Linked DNA regions of Callithrix jacchus. The protein of the gene in region 1 interacts with the protein of each later gene in a pairwise test. Links are inferred from orthologs where the notes say so. Each region holds a gene or a part of one and is shown on either strand. Other genes may lie near its edges.

What was found.
Region 2: the proteins of MKRN3 (region 1) and SFN interact in binary tests that used the Homo sapiens proteins (3 or more experiments, as listed by UniProt). The two-hybrid records come from large-scale screens. The link is inferred for Callithrix jacchus from reciprocal best matches to the Homo sapiens genes MKRN3 and SFN.
Region 3: the proteins of MKRN3 (region 1) and BEX2 interact in binary tests that used the Homo sapiens proteins (3 or more experiments, as listed by UniProt). The two-hybrid records come from large-scale screens. The link is inferred for Callithrix jacchus from reciprocal best matches to the Homo sapiens genes MKRN3 and BEX2.

Annotation. Positions count from the first base shown.
Region 1 is NC_133507.1:5,632,402-5,636,154, reverse strand, and holds MKRN3 (E3 ubiquitin-protein ligase makorin-3), read left to right. Parts: upstream 1-1,171; 5' UTR 1,172-1,281; coding exon 1,282-2,805; 3' UTR 2,806-3,546; downstream 3,547-3,753. UniProt on the Homo sapiens protein: E3 ubiquitin ligase catalyzing the covalent attachment of ubiquitin moieties onto substrate proteins.
Region 2 is NC_133508.1:63,512,076-63,515,021, reverse strand, and holds SFN (14-3-3 protein sigma), read right to left. Parts: upstream 1,885-2,946; 5' UTR 1,822-1,884; coding exon 1,075-1,821; 3' UTR 572-1,074; downstream 1-571. UniProt on the Homo sapiens protein: Adapter protein implicated in the regulation of a large spectrum of both general and specialized signaling pathways. Binds to a large number of partners, usually by recognition of a phosphoserine or phosphothreonine motif.
Region 3 is NC_133524.1:99,382,533-99,385,617, reverse strand, and holds BEX2 (protein BEX2), read left to right. Parts: upstream 1-837; 5' UTR 838-967; intron 968-1,384; 5' UTR 1,385-1,470; intron 1,471-1,834; 5' UTR 1,835-1,839; coding exon 1,840-2,226; 3' UTR 2,227-2,470; downstream 2,471-3,085. UniProt on the Homo sapiens protein: Regulator of mitochondrial apoptosis and G1 cell cycle in breast cancer.

The DNA.
Region 1 (3,753 bases):
GAATATTTTTATAAATGTAAGCAGCAAAATTTCCTCAGAAAAAAAATCCAATAATATATGATATATCACGAAACAGAGGGCTTATTATTGAAACGAATTGGTTAAATATTTGAAATTCGTAGCTGCAAATAATCACATTAAGAGAATAAAGGGAAAAGCAAGATTATCTCAAAAAAATCTATAAAACTCATGACTGAATTCAGTATGCAGTCATAATAAGTACTCTCAGCAAAGCAGGGATACAAAAATGATTAATGTACTAACATGTATCTGCAAAAATGACAAAACGCTCATACATGGAAATTAAAAACCATTCTCTTGTGGATAATATGGCACAGGATATGTTATAAAAGGCTGTCCTGCCACAACACAGCACAGATGGGGCTGAAAGAAAGGAAGGGAAACAAAGGGCTGCCATGAATATACCAGCAGAGAAAACAAAAGCCTGGGTCATGCAGGGGACAGTGCCTTATTAAGCCAGCATCAGGACTGGTTGAAGTCCCAGGCTTCTTCACAGTGGGAAAATGACCATAGTAATCACAATAAAGACAGACATCTGAAAGGTGCTCACTTCGCCTCGGATCAGACGTGCTCTCTGCTAATGACTTGCTGGTGAAAAGCGGATCCAACGTAAGCCCTCAGAAATCCCAGAAAACAAAGACCAAACGAAACGACGCCTTGTCAATAGAACAAATCGAAAAAAGTTTCCCGCAGTGACAGGCAGGGCATTAAAAGAAAAAACCCACAGACGTGAGACGGAATGAATCCAAAAGGAATTTATATAACTCACGTATGAAATGTTTCAGAATCTACAGAGCTATAATTTAAGGCAGACAGACGCGGAAATACAATGAAAGCGTGCATGACTGAAACTAGAAGAGATTACATGAAAACCTCATTCTCTTGAGGAAATGGTGTGAGGAGGGAATTAGGGGCTGCCGAAACACAGCGAAACAAGAGGCGGAAGGCAGACAAAAGGGGCCGGGTCGGTCCCTGCCTGCGTGAACAAAAAAGATGTCAGATGAGATGTCAGATTGGAAAATTGCCGCAAAAATCAGGCAGCGCACGTAGGTTGCCCCGACAGGAAGTGTCCGCCATGCTGCCTGTGCCCGGAAGTAGGTAGGAACACAGAGTCACAGGGAGCCAAGAGCAGGGGGGAAGGAAAAGAGGTGCACACTTCCCCCAGAGAAGTCTCGATCGTGGCCGCGGCTCCGGGCCTCAAGCCCTTAAAGAAAAAATACCGGAGACGTTCTGGCACCATTTCGGGGTGAAGAAGCTGCCATGGAAGAGCCTGCAGCTCCCTCAGAAGCCCACGAGGCAGCCGGGGCCCAGGCAGGTGCTGAGGCAGCAGGGGAGGGTGTGTCTGGGCCCGACCTTCCCGCGTGTGAGCCCTCCGGGGAATCTGCTGCTCCAGATTCAGCACTGCCACATGTGGCCGTGGGCTGGGCCCCCTTCCCTGTAGCTCCAGTCCCTGCCCACCTCCGCACGGGAGGCCTGAGGCCTGCCCCAGCCTCCGGAGGAGGAGCCTGGCCCAGCCCCTTGCCAAGCCGAAGCAGTGGCATTTGGACAAAGCAGATCGCCTGCAGGTATTATATACATGGGCAGTGCAAGGAGGGGGAGAACTGTCGCTATTCCCACGACCTTTCTTGTCGGAAGATGGCCACCGAGGGCCGCGTTTCGCCGTCTGGGGCCTCTGCAAGTGGAGGCCCTAGCACGGCTGCGCACATCGAGCCCCCGACTCAGGAAGTGGCGGAAGCCCCCCCGGCTGCATCCTCGCAGTCCTTGCCTGTGATTGGCTCGGCTGCTGAAAGGGGTTTCTTTGAAGCCGAGAGAGACAATGCAGACCGTGGAGCTGCTGGAGAAGCAGGTGTAGAAAGCTGGGCGGATGCCATTGAGTTTGTTCCAGGGCAGCCCTACCGGGGCCGCCGGGTTGCATCTGCTCCTGAGGCTCCTCTACAGAGCTCAGAGACTGAGAGGAAGCAGATGGCTGTGGGCAGGGGTGAGCGGTTTTGCTATTATGCTTCCAGGGGAGTTTGCTTTCGTGGGGAGAGCTGTATGTACCTCCATGGAGACATATGCGACATGTGTGGGCTGCAGGCCTTGCACCCCATGGATGCTGCCCAAAGGGAAGACCATATAAGGGCCTGCATTGAAGCACACGAGAAAGATATGGAACTCTCGTTTGCTGTGCAGCGTGGTATGGACAAGGTGTGTGGCATCTGCATGGAGGTTGTCTATGAGAAAGCCAACCCCAATGACCGCCGATTTGGCATTCTTTCCAATTGCAACCATACCTTCTGTATTAGGTGTATCCGCAGGTGGAGAAGTGCCAGACAGTTTGATAACAGGATCATCAAGTCTTGTCCACAGTGCAGGGTCACCTCCGACTTGGTCATTCCCAGTGAGTTCTGGGTGGAGGAGGAGGAAGAGAAGCAGAAACTTATTCAGCAATACAAAGAGGCAATGAGCAACAAGGCCTGCAGGTATTTTGCGGAAGGCAGGGGTAACTGCCCATTTGGAGACACATGCTTTTACAAGCATGAATACCCTGAGGGCTGGGGAGATGAGCCTCCTGGGCCGGGTGGTGGGTCATTCAGTGCATACTGGCATCAACTTGTGGAGCCTGTGCGAATGGGAGAGGGCAACGCGCTCTATAAAAGCAGTAAGAAGGAGCTTGTCGTGCTTCGGCTGGCCAGTCTGTTGTTTAAGCAGTTTCTTTCACTGAGAGATGAGTTCCCCTTCTCTGAGGAGCAGTGGGACTTGCTTCATTATGAGCTGGAAGAATATTTCAATTTGAATCTGTAGCATCGTGCTGTGGCATGTGGTCTAGTCTCCTGAGGTTCTGTCATCTTCTAATGCCTGTTTTCCCTATGTTGACACTCCTATTGCTTTCAGGGGCTGTTGAGGCAGTGTTTCTGTTTTCTTGTCTATTCTGAGTATCTTTTCTCCTAGGACTATGGTGATTATCTGTGTTAAAAAGTAAGTCCATAAAGTTACTATTTTGGTGAAATTAATATTAATGTCAGCTTATGGCTTTTTCGTCATCTCTGTTTTCAACAGGATTAACTCAGTTCTAGTTTAGTGTTTACTGAATTTCCACACGTATTTTGAAGACTCTCAAGAGTAAATATGGCAGAGTGAAAGGAGAAGTTTTAATTGAACTAGTAGCTTTCTGCTATAATAGCCTTAACAAATGGACCCTTGCAGGGCCTTGCAGCTGCTCATCTGTTTGTTTACAGTCTGTTCTTTCCCTTCTTCCCTTTCAAGTGCACTTGTTAAACTATGATGAACTTGTGACTTTGTGTTTTACTTGACCAAAACCAAGTGTATATGTTTACATGTTTTTATCCTGTTTAGCTTGACGCGAAATAATTTATATTTGGAAATTTATATTTAAGAATGATATATATATAATATATATGCATATATATGTATAAGTTATGTATTTGAAAAATATATAAAAGAATATACATCACAATATAATATTTATGTTTATGTAATAAAGTAAATACAGACCCAAAAGCTGAAGGTCAAAGCCTAACAGGATTGGCTGTTGTGTGAATGTGAGTTGTCTGAATAATCTTTCTGTCCCAGGCACAGAAGCCAGTAATTAACATGTAATGAAAAGGACTGTTCAAGTGGGTCTGGCCAGATGTAACAGATGCACATCTTAGAGGACTTACAAAGCATGATGTTGGTAATTCTTACAATGGCATTCATAGCTCACTCCATAAATATTTAAATGGTGTTCCT
Region 2 (2,946 bases), on another chromosome or scaffold:
GGCAGTGCTCCCCGCAGCCCTTCTCACCCAGGTTGTCCTTCCTCCCCGCCAGTCGGTTTCCTTTTGTCTGCATCTCCGAACTCTGTGGGACACGACTCTCTCCTGAGATCTGGGGTTTTAGGGTTGCGCTATACCTCTGCCTCACTCAGATGGTATTCCCCTCCGCTGAGATCGGAGCCCGTGATGAGACTGTGACCTGCTTGCAAATCGGGTGCTCAGTGCCGCTCGCTACTGCGGCGCTGTCCTTAGATCTCACGCCGGAGACTTCACTGTTTCCTGCCCCGCCCCACCTGAGCTCGTCAACCTCGCGGCTCCCACTCACCTCCCCTCAGCCCGGCAGAGGAGCCTTGGCGCCTCCTGTGGGTTCACCGGCCCCTTCCGGGCCCGTCCAGTGTGGGGCCTCCCTGAAGGACAGAGCTGGACCCCGGCCTCACCTGGACTCAAAGTCTTGCGTGCGGGTCACTGAGCACCCAGGGAGGTCAGGGTCCTAACTCAGGTCCAAGTTCAGGGTCTCTAAATCAGATTCCAGTCCCACTCCCAGCCCATCGCCAAGAACTGGAAGAGACAGGAGGAGTGTTACAGGGGAACTTTATTGAGAGGAAACATGATCACACCCAGCCGACATGCTTTCCCTCAATCTCGATCTTGCACTGGCAAGCGCACGCACACACACACACACACACACACACACACACACACAATCTCTAGCCCCTACCACTGTGCAGTTCTCAGGCACAAGGCGGGACACTTACTCCTCAATTCCTAACATCAGGCAGCAGGGGCAGGAGGGAGGCAAGATCGGGGAGAAGTAGCCTGGTCGTGGGGTCGGCAGGAAGCGGGTGCAGAGAGCAGGGGTGGGGCATGACCAGTGATTAGGTGTGCTCAACAGCTGCGAGAAGAGTGGGATCCCCAGCCCCAGGTGGCCTCGGCTCTGCCAGTCCCTTTCCATGGAACCTTTTGGAGCAAGAACAGCGCCTGGGGGAGAAGGGTGGGGCCTCTCACCCCATACTAGTCCTCTTGGCAGGGTGGGGTACTGGAGGGGGCAGGGCAGGGCCGGCTGGTGGCGGGCAACACTCAGCTCTGGGGCTCCTGGGGCGCCTCGCCCCCCTCTTCCCCGGCGTTGTCAGCCGTCCACAGGGTCAGGTTGTCTCGCAGCAGCTGCATGATGAGGGTGCTGTCTTTGTAGGAGTCCTCGCTGAGGGTGTGCAGATCAGCCATGGCCTCGTCGAAGGTGGTCTTGGCCAGCGAGATGGCCTCCTCGGGGCTGTTGGCGATCTCGTAGTGGAAGACGGAAAAGTTCAGGGCCAGGCCCAGGCGGATGGGGTTGGTGGGCGGCATCTCCTTCTTGCTGATGTCCATGGCCTCCTGGTAGGCTGACCGGGCCGAGTCAATGATGCGCTTCTTGTCGTCACCGGTGGCCACCTCAGCCAGGTAGCGGTAGTAGTCGCCCTTCATCTTCAGGTAGAAGACCCGGCTCTCGGCGTCCCCAGACTCCTGGATGAGGTGTCTGTCCAGCAGGCCCAGCACAGTGTCGCACACGCCCCGGAGCTCAGTCTCCACCTTCTCTCGGTACTCATGCACCTCGGGGCCCTTCTCCTCCGAGCCCTCCTCATTGCTTTTCTGCTCAATGCTGGACAGGACCCTCCAGGCAGCCCTCTGGCCACCCACCACGTTCTTGTAGGCCACAGAGAGCAGGTTTCGCTCTTCGCAGGAGAGCTCCTCGCCCTTCTCCACGGCGCCCTTCATGAAGGCTGCCATGTCCTCATAGCGTTCGGCCTGCTCTGCCAGCTTGGCCTTCTGGATCAGACTGGCTCTCTCCATGGCTCTGGGAACAGACAGGAGGGCGGCGGGTAACTGCTGCCTGGGACCAATCCCGGACTCTGTGCCTCTCCTGCTTTCGGCCTGCCTTTTGGCTGGGTGGCCAGGCCCTGAGAAGGGTGGGGAGGAGCAGGGGGCAGGACCAGGGCCCAAGACCTGCCTCCCTCTCCTCTCCTCCCCACACCCTTTCCGGCTCTGCATGAAAGGTAAAAGGGTTGGGATGTGGGAGTGAGTCATCAGGACAGTCAGCAGGAGAAATCTGGGCGTTGGCCCCACCTGCACAGGTGCCTTTCTGGGCTCCACGCTGCCCCCTCTTGTTCAGGACTGGCATTACATGACTGCCCACATCAGGAAGCTGCCTGGCTTCTCATATCAGATCCTCTTTCACAGTGCCCTTCCAGGGGCTAAGGATGGCTTTAGCCCCTGGCTGCTTCAGCCTTGATAGAGCTCATAAAGGTTCAGGAGGATGGGGTTCCTAATCCGGAGAGGTAACTTCCCCCGCTTGGTTCAGGGGAGAATAATTCATGTATAGGTAGGGCTATACAGTTTCTCAAGCACTTTTATATTCATGATCAACTTTAATCCCCTCCATGTCTCTGTGACATACACAGGACCATAGAGATGGGTACACTAAGTTTCAGAGAGGGGTGAGATTTGCTCAAAGTCACATAGCCACCAATTCCCTGAAACTCTTTTCTGCACCCTACCTCCTTTAGATTTTCTCCCATGAGGCCTCTGACCTATGAGCTCCAGGCTGTGTTTGGAAATGAGATCCAGGCTGCTTCCTCAGTCTACCTGAAGACAGTTCCATCCCCCAGATGGGTCCCCTCTGAGCTCCCAGAATGCACAGGTGGCAGCTTTCGGAGTGCCACTTAATAAAGTGTTTAACAAGCAGCCTCTGACGCTCCAGCCCAGCCTTTGTAATTAGTCACCCAGTAGGTTTGTTGAACACATTTCCCATCACTACACAATTTTCCCTTTCAAGTTGGTGGCCTGTTGCCACTTGTTTGAGGACTTACCCTCTGGCCCTCCATGCCAGGTCACCTGCCCTCTCCAAGCCATATGCCATCAGGTACCAGCGGGGCTTCCAGAGGGTGGGGTCCAGCTCCCCAGCTGTCCCACTTTCCT
Region 3 (3,085 bases), on another chromosome or scaffold:
TATCTGCAACCTTCTTAAAATCAATTCTTACTCCTATAGTAGATTAACTGTAGATCTCTTCGGATTTCCTGAATTCATGATTATTGACATGCAAATAAAGACATACTTATTATCATTTGAACCAGAAATTTGTGAAAAAGGTCTTTTTTTTTCTTTTAGTTCTGAAAACCCAACAAAGCTCTGTAGCACTACAACTCACTAGTTCATCTCATAGAAGGGCCTCATATGTCCAGGGGCCCCTCAAAAGGGGAGTCATCAGCTGCCCTGTCCTTTTCCAAGTTCTAAAAAAGCAGCTGTCGGTAGTGTCTATATTTGTATAATGATTTAACAGGACAGGTGGTTAGGATGTTTTCCCCAACTTTAATCCCGTTTTTCAATTAAAAATAACATTTTTTCCTCTTTTAAGACGTATATATTTTTTGTTTCATATGAAAGAACACAGAAAGGTATTAAGAATGAGAAAAGTCTACTCTTTTGGGCTCCTTTTCTGATATACCTCTTCCACTAGTTTTAGTGGAGGGAAATCAGAGTATTGGTAGGAGAGAGGACAGAAGGAGGTGAATCCTGGGAGCCAAGGACAGAGAGAGGCAAGTCCCCAGAGTGGGAACGGCTAACATCTCCCTGAGATGATATGTTCCTCCCTGGGCAGGCAGAGGAAGTCCGAAGAACACACAAAGAAAGGAGAGTGGCAAAGCTCAGGCCGGGGATGTTCAAAGGGACTCCCGGTGTGAATGGGGGCTGGCCCGAAAGCCCCGCCTGACTCGGGGCTGCAGGAGGGGGCGTGGGACGGGGGCGGAGCCGCTGGCGATGACAACCGCCCCACGTGACCTGCCAAGTGAGTCTGTCTCGCTCTGGTGTCAGAGCCGCCGTCGCTCGCTCCCTTCTCGGCAGCGGTACCTGCTCCAGGTGGCCCTGAGAACGTGCGGGCCGGGGGCGACCCCGAAAGTAGGAAGCGGAGGGGAAGCAGGTAAGGGACCTGGAGGAGATCCCTGGGGTTGGTGTTGGGGAGCGGCCCCGGCCTGAGGATGACCCACCCCCGGGTAGCCGCGCGGTGACGCAGGCGGTCCACCATGAAGCAGACCCCGGGCCCCACCGCCTTCCTTGAGCCGAGAGGTGCCCGGCCTCGCGAGAGCCGGCGGTCCTGAGGCTACGACCCTTCGGAAACACCTGCCTCCGCCACCTGCGCAAGCTTTTCCGACACCCCTGCCCCGCCCTTCTTGGTGCAGAAAATGGTGGTCATCTTGGGGGGAGGGGCTGCTGAGGCGGGGGGCGAGGGCGGCGAGGAGGGCCCGGGCTCGGGACGGGGAAGGGGCTGGGTGACAGCTTGTCATCGCTAGCGTTCCGCTCCAGCAGCCCCCACTCCCTGCCCCCTGCTCTTCTGCAGGTCTGAGGGACTAAGTGTCCGGCGGCGCGCCTCGAGTCGAGAATCGGGAGGAGGAGATCGCAAGGATAGGCCCAGGTCGGTGCGAGGTACGGTGGTGGGGCGGGGGTCGGAACGTGAGGAAAGCCCAGTCTGAGACCCCAATCCATGCCTTCACTCAACACTTCGCAATCCTTCCCCTCCCCCACCCCATCCTCGTCCTCCATTTTGGTGCCTGCAGAGGCCTGGAGATGGATCTGCAGGGAAGATGGTGGGCTTTGCAAGAGAGAGGGGCTAGGATTGTCTCCCCGCGAGGGCACACTGGGTCTCTCTGGTGGAAAAAAAAATGAAATTTTAAAATGGCCTTTGAAGTCCAGGGCTCTGAATTTTGAAAGGTGTATAGTAGGGTCTCTGTCCTCGGTGCTGATCGGTTCACCAAGAATTGAGTCTCTTTTTTTCTCTCTTGTCTCCTAGGAGTAATGGAGTCCAAAGAGGAACTAGCGTTAAACAATCTCAACGTGGAAAATGTCAAAGAGGAAAATGAAGAAAAAGATGAAAAGAAGCAAGTTGCTAATAAAGGGGAGCCCTTGGCCCTCCCTTTGGATGCTGGTGAATACTATGTGCCCAGAGGAAATCGTAGGCGGTTCCGCGTTAGGCAGCCCATCCTGCAGTATAGATGGGACATGATGCATAGGCTTGGAGAACCACAGGCAAGGATGAGAGAGGAGAATATGGAAAGGCTTGGGGAGGAGGTGAGACAGCTGATGGAAAAGTTGAGGGAAAAGCAGTTGAGTCATAGTCTGCGGGCTGTCAGCACTGACCCCCCTCACCATGACCATCACGATGAGTTTTGCCTTATGCCCTGAATCCTGATGATTTCCCTGAAGTTTATAGGAAGACCCCTGCTTCCTAAACTTACATATTTGTGGTGTACCTTTGTTGCAAACCTTTTGATGTTACTTATTTCTTGTGGGTCTCCTGATACCAGCTTCTAACTGAATGTTGTTTCTGACCCAGTTTGTAAGTTTCTGTCAGCAGGCGAGTTTTACCTACTGCATGGAAAGATGCTCATTATATATTGTGAAGTTAATAAAGCAGTTTTAAAAAGCATTCTCTGCATTCTTTTTTACTTTAAATCTTAAATATGAACATAAACAGTCATGTATATATACATATATACACACACATATATAGTAAATAATGTTTATCTCTGTGGTAGAATTAAAAGGGAATTTTATTCTTGCTTATCCATCATTTCTTATTTTTCAAAATGGAACTCTATTACTTATATATGACCACCTTATAAAAGCAATGTGTACACTTATTAAACATTTATGACAGAATCTCAATTTGAGCTTACCCCTGGGATCTCTTTTTAGAAATGTAAGTGACACATCTCTCTGAAGATCATAATATTTATCAGTAAGATGAAGACAAGCAACCTCCCAGGGTTGCTGTATTGACCAGATGAGAGAATAAGGTTGTGAACTTTCTCCCAAGTTCTTGCTCTTAGTGACATGCATGACCCAACCCTTTAGATATTTCCTTCCGTTATTAGAGGACATTTCCGAGGTGAGGTCTTCCCTATGCTTACAAGTCCAGTAGGCTTAGGAGTAGGTACTTTCATTCCTCTGCTGCTGCGTTCTATTGTCATCTTCCCTGGATATTATTCTGTCTGCTAGGTTTTGCTCTTACACTAGCTCCTACCATTGCAGATGTTCAGGA